Tamandua tetradactyla: one gene and its partners. The protein of the gene in region 2 interacts with the protein of the main gene of each other region in a biochemical or structural test. Links are inferred from orthologs where the notes say so. Each region holds a gene or a part of one and is shown on either strand. Other genes may lie near its edges.

Region 1 (7,542 bases), on a different chromosome or scaffold from region 2:
CTGCATTCAAAGAAACCCAGGCCAAGCAAAGGCCAGACTTCTGATATAGTCCATTAAACCTTTGATGTTAAGGCTTTTTTTAAAAATCAAGATTAGGCAAACATTTGTCATTACAGAAAACTTCTCCTACCTCATAGACAGCAACTCATCAAATTACATCATCGAGCCATCAAATTAAATGGAATCAAGGAACATACACAAGCCAGGTACTGCCCTCAAATACATATATATCGAGGACAATCTTTATAGTAGGTAGAAAGGGGTGAAGGACTTCATCTTGCCTTAAAACTACATTTTCTACTAGGCAAAGGCAAACTAAGAAAGGATCATGGCACTGAGCGGCTTGAGGTGGCTGTCAGTGATAATACCACAGCTGTGGTTGTATGGTGCTTTCTAGGTGGCAGGACCTGTTCTAGCACTTTCCAGGCAGATCCTGTTCAGTATTCATGTCAAGCTGGTGACAGATACAATTCAATACCTCTAAGGCCCTGTATGATAGGGACTTATCATGCTCATGCTATAGATGGAGACCCAGAGGCAGGGAAAAGCATACCTGGCCCAAAGTCACCTGCTATGTGGTAGAATCAAGAGATGAATATGGGCAGTAAGACTCTGTGCTCCTGACCGCTGCTCTGGCATCTGGCCTTTCCAGAACAGTAATGCCTGAGCACACGGGCTCTGACTCAAATTGAGGCTTTGCCACTTTGGCTAAGTGATACGGGACAAGTTATTTAACCTTTCTCTTTCTGCTGTATCTTTCCCTGTTAAGTGGTGATGATTCTAAGACTACCTCGTAGAGTTGTTGACAATACAAAATAGGAAACTCTTAGGGGTGTCAAGCAAAATGGTAAATTGTCACTACACAGGAACGATGATTATCTCCCTGCTATCCTCAATGTAATTGATGGGGTTCAATCTAGACCCTATGGTGTTGTCTTAACCAGGAATTCACACTACAAGGTGGTCAGGAGAAAGGCCCCTTCCCTGACTGAATGCCTCTCCGCATGAGGTCAGGGGACCCCAGGAGCTTGTGAAGTCTCTTGGGTTCTCCACTGGATCAGCAGTGAGGCCCAGGAATCTGTTTTAGCAAGCAATCTGACTTTCCATGCTGAAGTGGGAGAAGCACCGCTCTCAAGGTGTTCAGGTGCTTCAACTGTTCAAACTGGAGTCTGAAATGAGCTTTCACTGGTGAAATCAGTGGTCCTCAAGACCTGCGGAGTACAGATGGGTTGGATTCCTAAGCCACGTTAAGTCCTGAAACCCAAAGGGGTCAGCCTCTCCAAGAATATCAACTAGTTCCATCGCCCTATCCCACATTATCAACGGCTCTTTCCAACACGAAAAAGCTAGAATGGGCATAGCCCAAATGCCCCTAAAGATCGGGAGAAAAATCAAAGGAGAAGGAGGAGTTATAATAGGGAAGAGAAGATTTAACAAATAAATATGACTACTGAAACATTATATTGATACTTCTTTTAGTCTTCAGTGTCTTAGAGCAGGCAGAAAAAGAAACCTAAAATTGTGGAACTGTAACCCATACAAACTCTGAAAACTGTTCTATAAGTAATCGTTGTAGTGTGCTTTGAAATTTACTGCTTTTTTTGTATATATGTTATATTTCACAATAAAAAAACAAACAAACCAACAAAAAAACTGTGGAGAGGCCAAACCATTCTAGACACTGGCCTCCTGGCCAGAACATAGCCCAGCCTGTTGTCTGCACTCTTAGGAGCGGCACTGCACAACCGATTCCTATGCTACTGTGTCCCGCCTCTGGGTTGGATTTCCCATGGCCTGATGCAGACAGGAGAGGGGAAAAAACCTGTCTCCACCTCTTGTTAGGTTCATGTATTATGGGATCAGCCTAAATGACACAGAGCTAAGACCTTATTTAACAAACAGGAGCAATGAACTGGTTTTTGCTTGCTTGTTTAAGCCAGGCAGAATTTGATCTAGATCTGCTTTCATTATAATTAGTAGCGATTCTGATGTAAGGCGGTATGGGAGGAACTTAGCTCAGCCACCGTGAACTTTCTCCAGCTATTTACCGAGAAGAATCCATGACTAGCAGGTGATCCGACTGGTTTAGGCTAGTTTGCAACACTAACCATTTAATGGAAAGGCTTTCTCTACATTCAGATTAATTCTCAAGTAGACCCTCAAGGACTCTAGGTAACACTCCAAGTCAAACAGGGCAAATAACATTCGACTGACAATTTACTATTACCAGGTACTGTTCTAAGAGAGTCACAAACACTGTAAATCACACTTACACCACCACACCGGGTTGAAATTACTGTCATCATTCTCCCCATCTTACAGACAAAGACAATGAGACAGAGGCAGACCAAGCAACGGGGCCGAGCTGGCATGCCTAGGATGCCAGCCCAGGCAGGGTCATTCTGAACCAAGATGCATCTACTCGTCTTCAGAAACTGTTGGAAATACCTCATTTACGAGTTTGTTTTCCTAAGAGGGCACGGAGGGCATTTCAGACTGTATGAAAGCACCACTCAAAGGGGGGACCTCGTACCCTGGGGCGTCTCGTAGGTCAGCGTGGCCATCTGCACCAGCGGGGCGTCCTCGAAGGGCCGGTTGTACTACGGGGGAGGAAAGGGCGTCGCGTCAAGATCCGGTGGTCGCGAGGAGTCCCTGACTCCGGCCGAGGAGGAGTCAGCTCAAAGCCGGAAGTCTGGGGTCCCCATTCCCGACCCCCTCCGACAACCGCGACACTCAGCGCCGACTCTCGCCCAGCTCCCACCTCGCGGGACCCACCCCTCCCCGCGGCCCGCCGCACCTTCTCTAGCAGCTGCTGCATGCGCCTCTGGAAGCGGCGGCGGCTGTCCCGGAGCTTCCCCACGAGCATGGCCTCCTCTTGAGCCTCGTCCTCCATGGCGCCCGCCGGTATCACCTCGATTCCAACGCCTACCCGACCGAGCGCCCCCCTCTCAGCCCTCAGCTCAAAGAAGCCGCTACGCACCCCCACCGGCCGCCCTTCGGGCTTTCTATTGGCTGGCGTTGTGTTGCGGGGAGCTGATTGGTTCTTTCAAACCTGTTTACGTCCCTGTTTCCCAGCCAATCTGCGCTCGGGTCTCCGGGTCCCGCCGTCCCCGAGGCGCGCGTTGGATGACGGGAGAATCCCGGGTCGCTCTTCCGGTCGCTTCCGGGCCGTTTAACGGTTAGTTCCGCGCGAGAATCCTGTGAAATCCGGTCCTTTCAAACGTTGGACATGTGAGAAAATTGCAGCTTGGACATGTCAGGCGGCTGGTTTGACCGTGGCCCCTCGTCCTCCGTCACCCCAGACCCCCGCCCTGGGCGGGCTTCCTCCTGCCCCCGCCTCGGGCCTGGCGCGGCTGGAGGTGGGAGGGGTCTAAGAAAAGCTAGATAGACTAAGTTACGAATTTGAAAGGAGGCAGGAAGTGAATAGTCACTTAGAGTCAGAAAAGAAACCCCAACACATTGCACGTTTACAAATGCCAAATGCCACGGACACGATAGAGTCCGGAAAAGAGTATCTTCATTAAGAATTTCCTGAACACCCATTTATTTTATTTTTATTTTTAAACTGCATTTACTACTGCTTCTTCATGCGAGATTGCTCAGGTAACAAAATCTCTAGACAATAGATAATTCAGTGTTTCCTCCAGTATGGTTACTGGAAATTTATTTTTTATCACTGACATTTTAGGAAAGTTTTATTCAGCGTAATAGCTCATTGGAAATGTCGGGTAGATTTTTAGGCCTGTTCTCAAGGATGGGAAAGACTCAATTTTCTTTCATATGTGTGGTATAAGATTTTTGTAGAATTTCAGATTAACTTCTGCAGTGTTTTATCTCAAACAGTATTTGAGTTGTTGACTTTGAAGAGCTGCCCTAGTAGAAGGCACGCTCTTCCTGGAAGCCTTTTCTGCACAGTCTTAGTAGCCAAGAACTATAGTAACCACATGCAAAATGACTTTTTAAAATGTAAACATATCCTACAAAACCCAGTATATTCCCACCTCTGTATTCTTTTCTGGCTGGCAAAACTGCTGTCAGCTACTCCACCTAGTGGGAGGGAGGTGTGACAAAGAGGAATAAGGGAGGGCAAGGGGAGAGAAACTGGTCCCAACTGTGGCTAAAATACCCTTTTGCAAATTTTATGGTAGTTAAGGATTGTGTGTCCCCAGTCTCTGTAGGGGCTGTGCAGGAAGGAACCACTTTCACTAGCTCCATGATAAATCGGCTCTGCCCTGCCTCTGATCTCCCTTCTCTAGTGTGTCCTCTGCTGCCAGAATCATCTTTTTCATTCTTTCTTTTTAAAATGGAAATGTCCTGGTGGTTCTTTTCTGATAATACATGTCCAATGTAAAGAAATTAAAAACAGGAAGTAAAAATCCATAATCCCCCCTCTAGTCTCATGCCTGAGACATCACTTTGTTAAGATTGGTTCAACATTTTACTATGCTTATATAAACACATTTTGACATATAGAATATGTACATGTATGTCAATAGACATATATGTAGATGTATAGATATATATAAATGCAAGTGTCTGTGTTCTTATGTAAATTGTCTTTTACTTATATACCATTAGTGTATTTCAAATGACAATACATATAGGTCTAAATCATCTATGTTATTTCACTGTTTGGTGGTACCATGGTTTACTTAACTGATCCTTTTTAATGGCCATTCAGAATGTACCCATTTTCACTATAATAAGGCAGTGAAGATGACCCCAGCCTTATAACTTAAATCCTTAAATCCTCCTGTGTGGATGTTCACCTGGTAATTGATCCCAGGTACCTGGCCCAGAGACTGTCCTCTTTCAAGTTGCCCATGCATTGAGGACCTCTTGTCTGCTGACCCTCTGCTTCTGGGCTCTTGCCCTGCCCTCTGGCTGCTCCATTGGGGGCTGGGAGAAGGGGAACCTCAGTCACTAAGGTTGTGGGAGCTTGTTTGTTGGCTACAAATGAGCTCCTGGGACTATTAGGTTATCTGTACTACTGGACTGAGGAGCCCAATAGCAGGAGTGAGAATCGGCTTGAATAGAACTGTACTTCTCTTCCTCTGATCAAGATGAGACAGTAAACAGCATAAAACACAAATTCACTACAAAAGAAGGATAAGAAGAGAAGTAGAGGAGGGGAGGCTGATGAGGAATATGCTTTGGAAGCCTAATAATTCTAGGAAACGAGGTATTTTTAGAAGAAACAGAATGCCAGAGCTCAAAGCAGAGCTAATGTGATAACAGAATGGTGTGAGTGAATTGCAAGACCTGAGGAAAGAAAGGGGTTGGAAGAATAGAAATGAAAGGCACATCAGGTACAGAAGATTATTACAGCTGAAAAACAGATACAGGAGTGTTAATGAGAGGGTTGAGAAAATCACAAGAGAATCACAATGGAAAAGAGCAAAGTTAAAAAGTGAAAAGAGAAAAAAGAGGATGTATTTGGAAGCTAAGTGTTCCGGTTTGCTAAAGCTACTGGAATGCAATATACCAGAAATGGATTGGCTTTTACAAAGAGGCTTTATTACATTACAGATTTCTACTTCTAAGGTCATGAAGTGTCTGAATTTAAGGCATCAACAAGATGATACCTGAACTCTGAAGAAAGGCCGCTGGCCTCTGAAACACCTCTGTCAGCTGGGAAGGCATGTGACTGGAACCTGCTGGTCCTTGCTCCTAGTTCGTTGCTTTCAGCTTTTGATTCCAGTGGCTTTCTGCGTCCTGCGGGTCTTTTCTTAGCGTCTCCAGGTCGTTTTTCTAAGTGTCCATGGGGGTCCTCTCTTAGCTTGTCTGGAGCAATCTTTAGATTTCATCTCTTAGATTCTCTCAGCTCTCTCCAGGTTCTGGGTCCTTCAGGTTCTGTGGGTTCTTGCTTAGCATCACCTAGAACGTTCTGTCTCAGCTTTCTCCACAATGTCTCTCTCTTAAAGAACTCCAGTAAGTGGATTGAGACCCACCTTGAATGGGTGGGATCACATCTCTACGGAAATAACCTAGTCAAAGGGTCCCACCCAACAATAGTTCTGCCCCCACAAGATTGGATTAGAAGGCCATGATTTTTCTGGGGTACATAGTTTCAAACTAGCACAGTTGCTGAAAAAAAAAAAGAAAAATAGATATTTAAAAAATTATAGAAGAGAATTTGTCTGAAATAGAAGAAGACTTTAATCTGGGCATCTAAAAGGTTTACCGTACCAGGAAAATCAGTAGAGAACAAATCAAGACCAAGATATAGCTTGATGAAGCAGATCAACCTTAAGGATTACATTTTTCTTTTTTTAACCATAAGGATCCAGGTAGAGAAAGCACAGCGCCTATATGAAAAAAGTCAGCTAGTTTTTTTGTCAAGAACCCAAGGATGTCAGTGGATGGATATTAATGGAGATGTGAGAGAAATAGGATGTGATACAGGAATTTTTATCCATACAGAACATCACTCGAGTAAAAGCAATAGGAAAAAATTCCTAAATATATAAAGACTCAGGAATTAAAGCACTTAGAAACCTTTCTTGAAAAATTTACTTGTAGACATAATCCATAAAATTGGATCAAAATTAAGAGCTCAAAAATGGTGGTACAAAAAGATTATCAGGTAAAATTGAATGTAGTTAAACATAGAATTGAGTGTTAATAACTGTTATTACCTTGTTGAGCAGAATAACGTTGCTGCAATTCTTGAAAGAAATGCTACAAAGTTTTAAAAAATCGATTGGCAATAAACAACAGTTAAACTGTTGGTAGAAGAGTAAAGAAGGTGTTTCTGATTTCTTCATGGGGGGAGCTAAGTTACAAGTTTGGTTTTTTAAATTGGTCATTAAAAAATAAAAGTAGGTTGTTGTATAATAATGTAGAGGAAATAACTAGAACTGGAAACTGAAACTGAGGTCTTTGCATCCTCTCCTAGGGAGAAGGTAGAAGATTTGTGGGGTTGTTTATTTTAATTTTTGGACGGTCTGCTGTATCCCTTTCACAGTTAATACCTTACTAACATTCATCTTACTCCATGTTTGTGTAAACCCATGGTTGCTTAAAGCTGAACCTTTTCTGATAACAGCTGAGCAATACAAGTGACTGCTTAAGACTACGTCTGTTCAAAGATTAAATAATATCCTCAGCAAAGGGGAATTACCAGTTTACCTTCTTGGCATGGGAGAAGATATATGACACAGTTTTCTTAGTTATATTAGCTTATGTAGTGGTGCCAGGATATGGGAGCTCCAGATAGGTTTGATCTCCCTGTGGGAGCCTCCTGGAAGAATCTTGTGGGAAACTCATGGACAGCTTCAAGGGTGAGGTTTCTCAAGATCATCATAATCCCCCATTAGAGTCTCAGACAATTAGAAAGCAATGAGACTAACTTTGGGGATAGTGAGAAGGCACTGACAAGTCCTGTGTAGGTCAGAAACACTTGTTTCTGTCATTCTAACCTCTATCTGAATTAAGTGCCTTCGTGGAAATGACGCAGTCCTCTGTAGCTAGGCTTACAAGAGTCAAAGAGCCCTTAGTAATTATTTTCTAACATGGGGGGGATTGGGATGGTGTGGGGGA
Region 2 (7,607 bases):
CTTTCATTCTGACACTGGATTACAGACATTGGAGGATCTCAGGGAAGGAAAATGCTTCCCATACATCAGCATACTCTGCTTCTCAGTTTCCTTATCTGTAAAATGAAGTCAACTAGATTATATGTAAAATAATTCAGTAATAGTCTATGAATCTAGAAAATAGGAAAGAATACCAAAAAGTAGTTGAAAAGTTGATTTGCCGTCTGGAATTTGCTTTAAACTACTTCAGGGTAAAAAAAGTCAGGGTGTAGATGAAGCAAAACTGTCATAATATTGATAATTGTTGAAATGATGCGACATGTGACATTGGGGCTTGTTATAGAGTTCTACTTGGGGTATGTTTACAGTTTTCCATAATAAAAAGCTTAAAAAAAGAGCCAGTCTCAAAATATTATTGAATTCCTATCTTAGCTTACTGCGAAAAGAAGCTTCCCAATAATGTACATTACTTTGAACTGGGTTCTTTCTAAAAAAAAAATTAAGTTCCGACCTTAGAGATTCTCACTATAGTATCTTACAGATGGAATTATGACTTAAAGTACTTGCTTCAAAATAAAAAGGAGGGGGGGAGAGCATATGACTACAGATGAAACGAGACTGGCCATGAGCTGATAACTGTCCTACTTGTGAGACAGGTACATACAAGTTTCTTATACTTTCCTCTCTTTTGTATATTTGAAATTTGCCATAGTAATTTTTTTTAGATGTATTTTACTTAAAATCCATTTAAGTATATATTGTGTTATGTACAACAAAGGTTCTGGATAACAAAGCTTTTTCTGAGTGTCAGTACACTGTAATAATAATGCCTTTTGAAAGCAGTTACAAGAAATCCTTTTTGAGTAACAGAATAATAGAGTTCTGGTGCAAGAATGAAACTTGGATCTACCTATCTTATGACTCTGAATCCAACATGCCATCAACTGCAAGGCTCATCCCAATTTCAGGATGTTTAAAAGCGAAAAAACGTACATTTTAGAATTAAACAAATAATGTAAACTGAGATGGATCCTTGATGTCTTATTAAGCTGTAAAGTTAGAAGAAGCTAAGTCTTCTCACCCCCAAGTCCTATGTTTCTTCAGCCACATTAGTAATTATTCTCCTAACCCAGTCTCCAACACTTGTCTAGGTAATGAAAAAACACTCTCTTAAAAAAAGAGCACCAAGGCATCTTGAGTTGTGCCATTTCATAGTCTTCTCCACAATTCCCATGGCTAAAAAAATTTTTTTGGTACCAAGCCTTTGAAATGTGTTGTGTATTATGCACTTAGAGGATTTCTCAACATAGAACAGCTGCATTTCAAGTGCACACAAGCCACATGTGGCTAGTGGTTACAGTATAAGCACGAGTCTAGATGCACTTTCCTTCTCCCTAACAGGATATTCAGAGAGCTTCTACCTCTGATCCCAAACCACCCAATTCCCATCTTTTCTCTGTGTCCCTTTGGGGAGGAAAAGGGGCCAGTATAGAGACTTTCAGCTGGGAAAAACAGAGTTATGGTCTAACATAGCTTGGGAAGTTTATTCAGGCTGGAAAACTCCTCCTGGTTACTGAGTAAAACAACTACACTTTACCTTAAAACTGAACCAACCTATGGTCAGAATGAAGTGTCTTGCTGCTGAATCCAATATTCAAAATTGAAGAGCACTGTGAGATCAATTCACTACTATAGTGTCACTTGTAATACAGGCAAGATGAAAATCTTACAGGCAGTATTTAAGTATGTTACACTCAACTTATGGTTCCCCCAGTTTGCCAGGTTACAGACTGAATGGGTCCTGTATAGCTCATTTCACTCCATGTTAAATAGCCCTAGTTATCTCAAAGGATTGAAATTTATAGTATGTTATTCTCACTATAAACCAAAAGGTTATTTTCTTCTTTTTCCCCTAGTGAACATATCTTTCTTAGTCTAGCTTCACTTGCACACACCGACAGGGAGATGTGGCCATCAGGCAGATCTTAAAACCTACATACAAATATAACTTTTACACCTTATTAATACATCAAGTTCATACAAGACTCCAATATGTAAAAAGAGCTTCCTTCAAAAATACTATATTAATGGAATAAACTTTTCTTCTAACGCAAAACAGTAAGTTTTCTCCTTGTGCATGTCAGTTCCAAGTTCCTCCGTTGCACTGTTACTAACTAGAGAAGGATCCAGAATGCCCGATACATACCTTCCTTTAAGCGAACCTTCAATGCCAACTAATAAGGGGGCTTCTAAAACGACGTTATTTGTGACTCCTAGGAAGACAAGCACAAGTCAGAATCCATGCCTCTAGGGGTGTGGAAGAGGACAGGATTCCCTTTAAAGGCAAATTTGACGTGGTCATAAAATTATCTTGAATAGACGCCCTCAATCGCAAAGGGAGGTTTTCCTTTCAACTCTTCATCCCATCTTCTTCCCTAACCAACCCCTCCGCCACCCGGTGGAGAAAGCCGGAACGTCCTCCCCGGCCCGCCTCTGCCTTCCCCGGACACCGCCTCCCCTCACGCCCCCCCACTCACTGGAGAAGACCGCGGCCCCGAGGGACCGCGACAGGTCCCAAGCGAGGTGCACCGAGTCAGCAAACACCGCGTAGCACTGGGCGCACTGGAACACCGCGCACCTCTCGGGCTTCAGCCACGAAGGCAGCCGCGGGCCGCCTCGCTGCTCCTCCGCCTCCAGCCCTGCGGGGCCGAGCGGCGAGGATCCCTTCACCACCAGTGTGTCCCACTCCATGGTAGTAAAAGAAGGTGTGTCAATCGCCTTCTGAGCTCCATCATCACAAAAGTCGTCCTGAGGTAACTTTGCATAGCGCGGCCCATGCCGCAGACGCCTAGCCGCCATTTCCCGCAGCCGGCGCCTCAGTTTCGAACAAGCACCAGGCTCCGCCCCGAGAGGGCTTTCTGTGTCCTCATTGGACAGCGTGAACGGCGGGACCTGCCGTGCAGTCGTTGCTTGGACGCACCTCACACGCCCTCGGCGCCGTCGTGTGTGTTGGAGAGAGGCGGGGAGGAGCGTGCGTCTTCTGGGACGAGAAATCAGCCTTTCTATTGGTCAACGTCAGGGAACTCCGCCTTCGAAACCTTTTTAACCAATGGACATGCAGCGTTTTTTATTTTAAACTGTCTATGTACTTTTTCTTCGTCAACGCCTAGAGTGGCGCCAGAGTTTTGAACTGTGCTGTAGGGAGTGCTGACTGAGACTTCCTGGTCGTCTGGTTTGCAGATCGCGATGACCGTCCCCTCCCTAGAGGAGCTGGACTCCTTCAAGTACAGTGACCTGCAGAACCTGGCCAAGAGTCTGGGCCTCCGGGCTAACCTGAGGGTACGGAGTTCGTGGCGCCTGTTGTTGCGTGGGCTGGGTCGGATGAGCCGACACGGGAAGACGCGGGGGAAGGGACCGAGCGGGGCCCCCAAGGGATGAGGGATCTGTCCTGCTCCTGAGGCGGTAGATGAGCTCTTTAGTTCTCGGGGTCCTCTCTAACTGCGAAAAAGGGGACCGTAATTTTCACCTTATTTTGAACCTAACTTTTCTGGGACTCACGAGGGCAGTTGCTGCAAACAGGTGTGGTTTGGTTTTTTTTTTTTTTTTTTTTTTTTTTTTTTTTTTTTTACATTTTCTTGTTTTATTGTATTTTTTGTTTCTCCGTTTTCGCTACATGGGCTGGGGCCGGGAATCGAACCGAGGTCCTCCGGCATAGCAGGCAAGCACCCCGCCCGCTGAGCCACCGCGGCCCGCCCTGTGGTTTGGTTTTAATTGGAAATTCGCTACGAATCTTCCAGGGCATCAGTTAGGGTGGGATGCTGCGTTTAATGCCAGTTAATTTGTAAGCAGTTGCCTAAATAATTGCCTCGGCTTCTGGAAAACTCCAGAAATAGTTAACGTTTCTGTAAATTGTAATAGCACCTATAATCTTTCTTTCTTTCTTTCTTTTTATCCCAGCACCTATAATTTTTTGAAACTTTATTTTGGAGGCCTGGCAGAAAGAATGACTTTTAGGGGGTCACCTACAACGGATATATTTTTATAATTGAACCCCCACCTAGTTTAATTGTTCATTTATTGATCACTACTGTGGCGGTGTTCTTTTTCAAAACCGATAAGGTCTTTGACCACGAGACTGTAAAATGTTGGGGTGGAGGGGATGTGGGATTCGATATGGGATTGCTTTTCTATATAGTGTAGATTTTCCCACATAATACTAATGAATACTCTGATTGTGGGCTGTGGAATTTACACTGAATGAATACTTAAATCAGACATCACAAATGTTTTCTAAATGACTTAAAAAAATAATTAGCGCTCTGTGCTTTAAGATTTAATGGTTCTTCAGTAGTTCATGAACAAGGTCTTAATTCCTTAGCTTAAATTCCTTACACTTTTTGCAGTTTAACTGGAATCTTTAATTTTCCATTGAATCCGACTGGACCAGTCCCTGAACAACTGGAACGTTAGATCTCTGTGCCTTTGCTCGGTTTGACCCTTTTCCCTCATATCACGCTCCCCCCTTCTCTTACTCATCTTTATCTGCATGAGTATTTTCCAGTTATCCTTTACAGTCCAACTGAAATGTCTTCCCCAACTTCATGCCTCATCCCTACTTCTTTATTCCTTTAGCCATAGGCCCACCACCCAGTAATCCCAGACACCCTCTGTGCTTTCAGAAGAGTTATTTTTTAAACATGCTTTGAGCACTTGGAGGATTTCACCTACCACTCTGGTTATTTGTGCTTGTATGTTATCTCTTCTACTAAAAGTTAAGCTCCTTGGCACGAATCTCACCCATCACCTGGAAGTCTTTATTAAGTGCCAACATTTTATGTAAGAGATGCTGAATGATTATTCAGAACTATTCCTTACGGTCTCTTCTTGACAGTGCTAGAATAATGCACCAGAGATTAGTTTCCTTGGCAAAAGAGTTACAGTGAAGGCTTCCCACCTGAGTTTCAAAGCTCTATCACTCAGGCCCTACCACCACTTGGATCTCTGAAGAAGTTTGGCAGGTTAAATTTTTTTACCAAAAGTCCTTCTTAGCATTGTCTTTTGACACAGCTGATCTGGGGTAGCCCATTAGCCACCTGGTTCTATAGAGGTGACATTTTAGGGAGATATACAGAATTCTTGATATTAAGGTCCTCTTGACCTACTTAGAACACAGTAGCTGGAACATAGTGGGTGATCATAAATATTTGTTGGGAGGTACCATTTCCCAAACTTGACCATACAAGCTTTCATTAATAAGACCAACTGTAGAAAGGCACTATGAAATAATTGGGGAGAATTAAACTTGGACTAGGCATTGAATTATATTGATACTAATTTTATTGCATATAGTAATGGTATTGAAGTTATGTTTCTTTTTTAACTTTTTAATTGTATAATATAACATATATACAAAGCAAAGAAAGGAAAAAGCAATAGTTTTCAAAGCACTGTTAGTTGTATATATCGAATATTTACAAGTAAAATGTATATATTTAGATTTTCTATAAAATACTCCAGGAAAAGAGGGAAGACTAGATGAAATTAAGAACAGCAGGATGTTGATAATTGTTGAAACTGAACAACTGGTACATGGGAGTTCATTGCAGTACTCTCTCCACTTTTGTGCATGTTTGAAATTTTCCATAATAAAAAATTTTCGATTATGCACTATTGGTACACCCCAGGTGTCCATTAAAACAGTTGCCTTTTTCAATTCCAAATGCATAACAAAAAATGAAAAAAGTTCTAAGAAATTTTCATAATTTGATTCTTTTTAGATACTTAGCAGATTAAAAATTAAATAAATTTGACAAATATAACATTAAAAATAAATTTTAGAAGAAAAAAATATTAGCCCTTTCTTTTGAAACACTTCTAATGGAGAAGCAAAACGGAGGAGGTGGTTACTGGTATTTATTATTTGGCCACTGGGTCCTTTTCTCTTTTCACTTAACGCCCTCACCTCCTTCTTACCAGTTTAGATTACAGGGATCGACTCTAATGCCATTTACTTGCACATCACCGCCCATATTCACCTGACAAACCTCCAACCTGATTAAATCCAGCTGTGTTCTTAATCCCAGCCTGTATCTAAGCAGCTGACCCTGGCTTTATTGACTAAATTTAATTTAAGTTTATGACCCTAAATCTTCAAGTAGGCATTACCTGCGTAATCTGCCTTCCCACCTTTCCTTTTGTGCTAGGGAAACCATTCTCTTTCTCAAGGACTGTACTGTTGCAATTAGTGCCTGTCTCCACCAATTTCTCCCACTCCACTGGCTCATTCCTGCAATGCAGGAAATCATTTCTTTATGACTTCCATCTTAAAAGCTGAAAGAAAAAAAAAAACCTTCTCTTGACCCCATGTCCTCTTCCATCCGCTGCCCTATTTCTGTTCTTTTCTGTTGAAATTGCTCTTAGGAGGCCACCATGCCCCACCTCTTATAAAGCTTGTGGTCCATCTCTATCCTTACCCCTGCCTATCAGCAGCATGTGGCATGACTGAACACTCTCTTCTGCTCAAGGCCCTTCCTTTTCTTTGATCTTTAGTTTTCTCCTTTCTCACTAGCAGCTCCTTCATAGACTCCTAGACTTCCTCTGCCAACTCTCCAAGTGTGGCGAATCACAGGGTTCTCTCTTATACTTTATTTTTTTCTAAGTGTGCTCTCTACCTTAATGATCTCACCTACTTTCATGACTTGAAATTTATCTACAAGCATCCCAAATCCACACCTCCGATGGGATCTCTCTTTTGATCCGCAGACTAGTGGTTTTTCTATGTTTTTCTTTTTTCTTTTCTTTCTTTTTTTTTTTTTACTGTATATAACATATATGCAAAATAAAGAAATAAAAAAGAAATAGTTTTCAAAGCACTCTTCAACAATAAGTTACAGGACAGATCCCAGAGTTTATCATGGGCTACCATACAATCCTCTCAGATTTTTCTTTCTTTGCTCCAGAATACAGGAGGCTAGAAGGAATAAATATTTTTTATCACCACAATTGACTTTTTTCTTTCTTTTTTGTGAAAAATAATATATGTAAATATGTATATATACAAGAAAAGCAATAAATTTCAAAGCACATAGAATATATTTCAGAGTTTGATGTGGATTACGATTCCACAATTTTAGGTTTTTACTTGTAGCTGCTCTAAGATACTGGAGACTAAAAGAGATTGTGATTTAATGATTCAGCAACCATATTCATTTGTTGAATCCTATCTTCTCCGTGTAACTCCACCATCACCTTTGATCTTTCTATCCCTCTATTTGGGGGTATTTGGGCTATAGTCATTTTAACTTTTTCGTCTTATAAGGGGCTGTCAATAAAATAGGGTAGGGAGATGGAACTAGCTGATGTTCTGGAGAGTCTGAGCCCTTTAGGTTTCAGGACTTACCTGGTCCAGGTACCCATCTGGAGGTTGTAGGTTTCCGGAAGTTACACTAGTACATGGAACCATTGTGGACTCTTATATATTGCCCCAGGTGTTCTTTAATATTGGCTGAAATGGTCCTGGTTGGGGTTTGGCAGGTTATGATAGGTAACAGTATCTAACTGAAGATTACATAAGAGCAACCTCCAGAGTAGCCCCTCAACTCTATTTGACCTCTCTCAGCCATGGATAC
Region 3 (8,036 bases), on a different chromosome or scaffold from region 2:
AGCAAGGTCAGGATATTTAACACCTTACTTCCTGTCTTAGTTTGCCAGAGTTGCTATAACAAACACCATCGGCTTGTGTTACGCAACGAGAATGTATTGTCTCACAGTTTTGTAGGCTAGACGTCCAACATCAAGGTACTGGCAGGTCGTGCTTTTTTCACAGTCTGTAACATTTCTTCAAAGTCTATAGTATTCTGATGGTTTTTTTTTTGGCAAACCATAACTCAGTCTCTGCTTCTGTTCTCCACCTGTCTCTTCCTCTGGCTTCTCCTTCTCTGTCCAAACTTCTGTAGCTTCTAAGGACTCCAGTCATACTGGATTCAAGTCCACCCTAATTCAGTTTGTTCTCATCTTAGTAGCATCTGTAAAGATTCCATTTACAAGTGAGCTATTACCCACAGGACTAGGGGTTGAGATGTGAACATGTCTTGTGGGGGACATGATCCAATTCTCAGCATGTTCTGTGAGGTCACTCACCTGGTGTGTCCCTCCATGGAAAAGTGTCCTTATAAGGTAGCAAACTCTTCACAGCTCTTTACTTCTGGGTTTCTGTACCATCTCTCTCCCTGCATCTTGTGGGTTGAGGGACAGTGTCAGCTTCAATGCCAGTGACCCAAGCTCCTGCAGTAATCTTTGGGGTTGTCCCACATGCTGTCTCCACTTTTGTCATTCAACACTGTAAAGAAACTGTTCTCATAATACTGAAATTTGAATGTGCCACCTGTTTTTTGTGATGATTCTCTCAGGAAGTGCACAATTGACAGCCACTTTAGTTGCAAACAGAATCACTACGAAGACACAATAGCATACATTCCAAGGCATTAATTCACATTGAATCTTCATTCAAGGATAATCATTTTCCCCTCCCCTAGATAGGACTTACAGGTGGGCTTCCACCTTGTGTGGGAGGAGGGTGTGTGACTAGCTCTTCCCTTTCTTACTTCACCTCCTTCCTCTTGTTTCCATGGCCATCTAGGCTGACATTTCAGGGAATGAAGGGAACAGGATGGTTTCTACTTGAACTGGTTCAGTCATATGCTGGTTTTGCACCCTCTGGTCTGATACATGGTTAGAAGTGACTCCTGTTGGCCCCTCAGAGATTCTTTGTTGGGCCCCCCAGCATTCCTATGATCTAGGGAGGTCCACCCTTGGGCTGGCTTCTCCTCTCAGCCCTGGTTGTCCAGAGACCCTTTTCACACCAGGACACTTATTGCTGGAAAGCCTTCATCCTTCCAAGTTTTCTTCTTGGGCAGATCTTAAAACGGTTCTATGTTGCCTTACAATCAGCAAAGTTTAGATCTGGTTTACAGCCGCTCAGACTCACCTTTATTTTGCCATTTAGACAGCTCAACAGCCTGGCTTTCTTGCTGGCCATTTTGTCCCCAGATTCCTGGGAAACCACAGTTTCTATGAATGGTTCCTCAAAGCCTCCTCTCTGCCAAGTTGAGCAAGTGGCAGGTACCTTCCACCTTCTCTCTTGGGGAGGAGTGATGGAACTTACAGCTCAGCAACCTCCAAGGAAATCCTCACTAAGTAATTTTGATCTCCATTTTCTCCCATCCTTTATGTCCTCCAAGGCAGGAGGAGGTTCAAGAGCAGAAAGGAAATAGCTCTCAGATATTTACTCTGAAGTTTCCACCAGGGGAGGAGAACACTATCTCATTGGCACTTGGGCATTTCATTTTCACCTCCTTTTGGAGTCTCAGTAAAATATAAACTTTAATGCACTGTTAAATACATTTTTGTTGCTAGTAATTACGAGCAAACAACACAAAACTGCTCAAGCTGGCTTCCACAATAGAGAGATTCTGTTGGCTCACATAACTGAAAGAGTTCATAAGTTGGATGCTCAGTTTCTTCATGATTTTCTCAACTCTACCCTTCTCCTTGTTTTATAAGATGGTTGCCTAAAGCAACCTGGGTATGTGCTTTTTTGTTCACCAAGAGGACATCTCTTCCCTCAACCGTTGAACAAGGTGTTACTGAGATTTACTCTGATTGGGCAAGTGCTCACCCATGAGCCAATCCCTATAATCAGATTGGCTTCAGTCTGGGGTAGGTGCCATCCTTCTACCAATCATTACAGAAGAGAAATGGATCATCCTGATTAGGTCAAACCACTGGGGAGCCATTCTTGGCATTTGGGTGGTGGTGGTGGAGGAGGTAGCTGGGGTTGGACTTGGTCTTGCCCAAACCTCCTAGCTGGGTAACTAGAAGGAAGAGTAGAAATGGAGGTTCAGGAGGCAATAACTACCCAATCCAAGGTCTTCTTCCCTCAAGCATCCAAGTTTGCCCTCACATAAAATGTGATTTTTTTTTTGGAACCTAAGTACTTTATATTCATAATACAAGCATACTTGTGACTCTAGAGGAATTTGTTTTGTTTTAAGGCCAAATTCTCCAAAAGGCACAGGAGGCACAGTATTCTGAGCCCACGATATTTTTAGAGGCCAGTGAAAATGTTTTGATTTCTTTTAAAATCTGAAGGAAAAAAACTCAAACTCTTAGGTCAAAGAAAATATTTTCATATATAATGTGAACATATTTGTCTTTATAACAATGCAATCACAAAATGTAACTTTTAATTTTTCATTTACTTTTTTTTGGAGGGAAGGGACCCACCAAAGCAAGGTGCCTAGGGCCCCTGAAAGTTATCATGGGGCCCTGTTTTGTGTTTCTTCTTTACTAGGATATCTCACCACAGAATTGAAGTGTTGACAATAGGAATCCAAAGTCTGAGGCAAAGATAATCATCCCTTGAATTACAAAGTTACCACCCACTTACTTAAAGAGGACATTGCGGGTTACAGTGTTGTACCAGAGATACCATGTTTCAAAAAAGCAAGAAGCTCAGGCTGAGCTTCCCAAAAGAAGCAGAGGGAAGGAAGGCAATTCTATGGGTGAAAAAAGGAGTATCTATTTGGAGTATTTACTTGCAGTTGGAAATTAGTTAACACCAGTATGGTGCAGTAGAGAGTGGGTGTATGTTCATGTCTGTAATATCCTTTAATCCTCTTAAGATGCCAGGCAGTAAGGACCGATTTAACTGATGAAATATGAGATTCATTGAAGGCAAATGGCTTTTTTTTTCACAGTTATCCACACAGTTATTACCTGGTGGAGGAGTATGTCAAACTAGAACATCTGACTTTATAACTTTTGCTCTTTGCTAGGGGCCAAAGGCACTAAAATTGGAAGAAAGTTTATGTAAATGGTCTATCTGATCAAGCAGAGTGGCAGTGACTTGGGGCACTTAATCAAAACACCAAAGAGTAGTTATAAGGAGCGTAGGTCCTGGGGGGTGCCTTTTTCCTCTTCTATGCTGCCAGGTGGTCTGCAGTACAGCTTGGCTTCTTTTCTACCAGTCTTTCTCCTCTGACCTGTCATGCATTTAAGTCAGAGTCTGGCTTTCTGGGGTAACTGAAGAAATCTGTCCTTACTACCCAAGAAAGATTATTAAAAACAAAAAACTTTTCATGTAATTTAGGATCTCACAGCTTTATTGAAATTCATGAATCGGGCAGAATTCCATTCAGAAAGAAGGGAGCTCCACCAACGGGGTAGAAAGAGGGAGTTTATATAGGGCAACCTGAAGCAAGCAAGGAAGTGTTCTTATTGGCTAGCATCAAGTTTCCATGTCATGTGCGGTGGGGGTTGCATCCTACAAAACGCAGAGCATATATACATTGATTAGTATGGGAAGCTTGTCCATTCTGATAAGCAATCTCTACCAGATCGAAGAAACTGGGTTATCACCATGTGTTGCTAATCTGCAACTCTGTAGGGATGTGTTCCATTTTCTCTGAAAGCCTCTGCAGGTCAATTGTTTTTGTCTTCTGGAAAAGCTGTTCTGGGAAAGAGGATCCTTCCTGGACACTTAATCCAGGTGGCCATTTTATTTTACTTAACAGCATGCTCACCCGCTGGAAGGGGCAAACAGCTGTCTGCTTCTGACTGCTGAAACACTTCCAAGCTTTCCAGCACCACACTGCCCAAGCAGCTTCTTCTCTAACTTTTTCCTTACAGTGCTAGTTTGAATGACCTGAGGTCCTTTCCAGGGTCTTATTTCAGGAACAACAATGAACAAAAGGAATGACTTGGATTAGGTGGCTCCCCAACAACCCCTGCTTTCTCCACTTCAAACTAAGCCTCCCCACCCTCCCTGCAGTCTCATCAGACAAACTGAAAGAATGGAGGCACTCAAAAGTGGATCTGCCAAAATATTGAATTAAAAAAATAAAGTGGATCTGCCAGATTGGGAGAAGGATCAATGGAGAAGTAAGAGTGTCAATAGAGAACATAGGATTTAACAAAATGAGTATGACTGCAGAATCATTATATGGATATTTCGTTTAGTTTCCAGTGTCTTGAAACAGCTGGAAGGAAAACCCTAAAATTGTGGAAAACTAACCCATTTCAAACTCTGAAATCTGTTCTGTAACTACTTGTAACAGTGTGCTTTGAAATGTATTGCTTTTTTGTGTATATGTTATATTTCACAATAAAAAATGTTAAAAAAGAGAAATGCATACGAAAATACATGAACATAATCTTAAGAGAAAAGTTGTTGCTGTAATAAAAAAATTAAAATAAAAGTGGATCTGCTAATACTGGCAACATGGACACCGAGGGAGTTTGTTAAAATGCAAATGACAGGGCCCCTAAGAAACAGAATCTGTGAAGGAGATCTATGTTTCAATCAGTTCTCCAAGTAATTCTTCTGCACGCTCAAGTTCGTGGCGGTTGCTTTATTGCAAGGAGAGAAAAGGTCACAGAGGAAGTGGGGTTGCTGAAGGAGAGATTGGTTGCTGTTACTAACCAATCGGAAGGTCCTCGCCAAGGGTTGGTGATTTAGTTTGGGGCCGGTTATTTTCTGAAAGCAAACCATCCCCCAACCTTCCCCAAACTCAATTTCTTAAACATGAAAAATGAGCTACAGGCGCAGTGACCACTACGCATGCGCGCTAGCAGGCTCCGCCGTCAGGCCCCGCCCTCAGACGTCAGCCCATCTCGGCCAGCTTCGCCTCGCCCCGCCCCACGCACGCGCAATGACGATTTTCCCTTGGTGCTCTAAGGCGCGGGCAGTTCGTAGGTAATGGCGGGCTCTTCGTCACTCGGTTGCTGTAGAGGCTGTTCCTCCCCTAGCTGTGCGTGTGACGTTAAGGGCAAGTGGAGCGACTCCTCGCTCTTGGGTAGACGGCTTTCAGAGGACTCGAGCCGCCACCTGCTGCTGCAGAAGTGGGCGGGCATGTGGAGCTCCTTGAGCGGGAACCAGCGGGCGGCCGGCGCGGAGGAGACGCGGCCCGAGGAGATGGCGGAGGCTGACGAGGAGGAGACGGAGAGGCCGCTGGTGTTCCTGTGCTCCGGCTGTCGGCGGCCGCTGGGCGACTCGCTGAGCTGGGTGTCAAGCCAGGAGGACACCAACTGCATCCTGCTGCGCAGTGAGTCCGGGCTGGCTGGGGACTTGGGGCCGCCCTCTTGGGTGTTCCTTACCAGCGCGGCCGGGGAGGAGGAGGGGGTTTTTTGGGGGGCCGCCCTGGGACTTTAAAGGCAGAGAAATCTAAAAGAGTGAGATAATCTAGGAAAGAGGGAAGGGGAAAGTCACCCCTATACCTCGGGCTCACGAGAACTGGGTCCTTTTCTGGTGTCCTTCATCGCTGAAGAGTAGGGGTTGAATAAGCATCTTTGTGAGCGTTAACTAAGAAATCAGTTGCCAACTAGATTGTAAGCGTTTGGGGTGTAGCCATTGGATCTTACTCTCCATAGACACTAGGGGGCTGCTAATTAATTAATAGATAGTATTTGTTAGTGGTTTAAGAAATCAAGCTTTTTAGCTAGCTGCTTCCTGCGGAGGAATGTCAAGATTGATTTCTCAGATCTTACTGCTTGTATCAGCGAATATTTTTACAGTTCCAAGTGTTAACAGCCTTAGCAGACAAAATAGTGCTGTGGTAAAAGAAAGGCTTGCAGTAAAGACACCAACATCCCCATCAAAACTGAAGAAGAGGAGGGAGTGAAAGAATTAAGAGGAAGGCAGTACTCAACTCAGTTTGTCGCTTCTGCAGTGTTTTATTTATTTATTTGCTGTATGGTGGGGGTCACATTTCAGTCTTTTTCCATGTGATTATTTTATTATTGCAGCACTATCTGTTGAATTGTTTTTTTCTTTTTGGGAAGTGCATGGGCCACAGTATTTGTTTTAAAGAGTGGTTTTATGTGGTTCTTTTTTTCTGAGTTGGTATAAAAACAGCATTCTTTTGGACCTGTGGTTTTTCAAGATGAGGTCTATTCTCTGAAGTTCTTGTTTAAATTCTACAAATATTTTAGTGGTAGAAATACATCATCAATTCATTGACGTTTGTAGGGAGAATGTTTTCTGGACTGTAATTTTGGGAAGGAAATCTTTTTTCTGCCATTTTCAATACAGATGCTGATTAACACTTATTGCTGAGTCCTCTACAGTAGTTAAATATAAACCTAAGAACATATAGATTTCATGAGTGATGCATTGGGATTAACCTTTAGCACCTATTAAAATCAAACAGTGAAGAAGAGTATAAAAGTAAAAAGGATCCTTCCACCAACCCCCAATACATTGCCATGTCGCAGTCTTCAGAATGCTTTAGTTTCATTTATACTTCCATATACATTCCATGCATGTGAGTATGTTTTGACATGTCTTTTTAAAAACACTTGAAATCATTCATCCTCTTATGCATCTTCTTTTCTTTATTCCACATATATGTTCTGAATCTTTTTTCATATTGATGTATATAGATACATTTCATTTTTGAGCAGCTTCTTGCTGAGTGTTGATATAGTGTGGTGGAGCCACTGGCCTGCTCCTGTTAGAATTCTGGCCCTGCCACTTACTGTCTGTAACCCTGGGCAAGCTCCTTAATGAATGTCTGTATACCTCAGTATCCTCCTCTGTAAAATGGGGACAGTACTTGTGTGCAGTAATTGATCAACTGAAGACAATTCTAGAATAGATTCCCCCCCCCATGAAAGACGAAGACATTAATTCCCATTCCCTTTTTTCCCTTCTGTCCCAGTTTAAGTTAAATTATTTTACTATGTCAAGATCATAGCATTTACATTCTATTCTGTAGCTTTAATTCGTGGGTCCCTTAATTGTAGTGTAATATTTATGTGAATTCATTTCTTAATTCAAGTACGCCTAACAGTTCCCATTCTTGAATTACATGTTTTGATTAGTCATAAATGAGTACACTTTCTCCAAGAAAACTCCAGGTTTGAGTGCTTGAAAATATCTTTCTGTTGTCTTTATACATGGATGTCAACTTGGCTGCAAGTACAATTTTTTGGTCATGCTTTTTGCTTTTTCTAGGCATAGGGAACAACTAATGGAAAGAAAGTCCTTGCAGCTACTGTGGCTGAAGAATCGAATGAAGTTAAGATTTAAAGTTAAATCTTTAAGGGGACAAAAAATTCGTGTCCTTGTAGGCTATTCTAAGGAATAGGGCTTGATTCTAGTGGCTGGTAAGATGGGGTGAAATGATTCAGATTTTATTTTGTCTCTGAGGAAGCATTGAAGGGAGGAACAAATGTGAAATTGGTAGGCCAGTTTGGAGCTAGTACAGTAGACTGAGCAAGAGGTGTTGGTTGTGGTTTGTGGATGGGAAAGAGAATACATTGGAGAGAAGTTTGTGAGGTAGAATGGACAAGATTTAAGTAGAGCTGGTATGGGAGAGCAGGATGAGATGGAAGAATCACAGATGACTCTAGGTTTCCTGATTTGAGCAACTGGGTGGCTGGTGGTAACATTTTACTGAGTTAAGGTAGACTGTAGGAGGAGGTGAAATCATGAGTCCGTTTTGGCCATGTTAGGTCTGATAGGTTCCTGCCTCATTTTCCTCCATCCCTTAACCTTGTCTCAGTTTGTCAGCTGCTGTGACAAAAGCCACACAGTGAGTTTGGCTTAAACAGCAGGAATCTACTGTCTTGCTGTTTTAGAGGCTGGAAGGCTTGCTTCCTTCCCGGATCAGTAATGTTCTGGTAGGCAGTCCCTGGGT

Evidence for each region.
Region 1: the proteins of OIP5 (region 2) and HJURP form a complex in vitro, tested with the Homo sapiens proteins (2 studies listed by BioGRID). The link is inferred for Tamandua tetradactyla from reciprocal best matches to the Homo sapiens genes OIP5 and HJURP.
Region 3: the proteins of OIP5 (region 2) and MIS18A form a complex in vitro, tested with the Homo sapiens proteins (3 studies listed by BioGRID). The link is inferred for Tamandua tetradactyla from reciprocal best matches to the Homo sapiens genes OIP5 and MIS18A.

Annotation. Positions count from the first base shown.
Region 1 is NC_135329.1:210,914,173-210,921,714, forward strand, and holds the start of HJURP (Holliday junction recognition protein), read right to left. Parts: upstream 3,017-7,542; 5' UTR 2,894-3,016; coding exon 2,798-2,893; exon of another isoform or gene 2,649-2,797; intron 2,601-2,648; coding exon 2,534-2,600; intron 1-2,533. Other genes in the region: TRPM8 (transient receptor potential cation channel subfamily M member 8), read left to right, coding at 3,127-3,178. UniProt on the Homo sapiens protein: Centromeric protein that plays a central role in the incorporation and maintenance of histone H3-like variant CENPA at centromeres.
Region 2 is NC_135340.1:54,911,214-54,918,820, forward strand, and holds the start of OIP5 (protein Mis18-beta), read right to left. Parts: upstream 3,035-7,607; 5' UTR 2,839-3,034; coding exon 2,517-2,838; intron 2,253-2,516; coding exon 2,186-2,252; intron 1-2,185. Other genes in the region: NUSAP1 (nucleolar and spindle-associated protein 1), read left to right, coding at 3,226-3,318. UniProt on the Homo sapiens protein: Required for recruitment of CENPA to centromeres and normal chromosome segregation during mitosis.
Region 3 is NC_135336.1:92,330,921-92,338,956, reverse strand, and holds the start of MIS18A (protein Mis18-alpha), read left to right. Parts: upstream 1-5,020; 5' UTR 5,021-5,095; coding exon 5,096-5,441; intron 5,442-8,036. UniProt on the Homo sapiens protein: Required for recruitment of CENPA to centromeres and normal chromosome segregation during mitosis.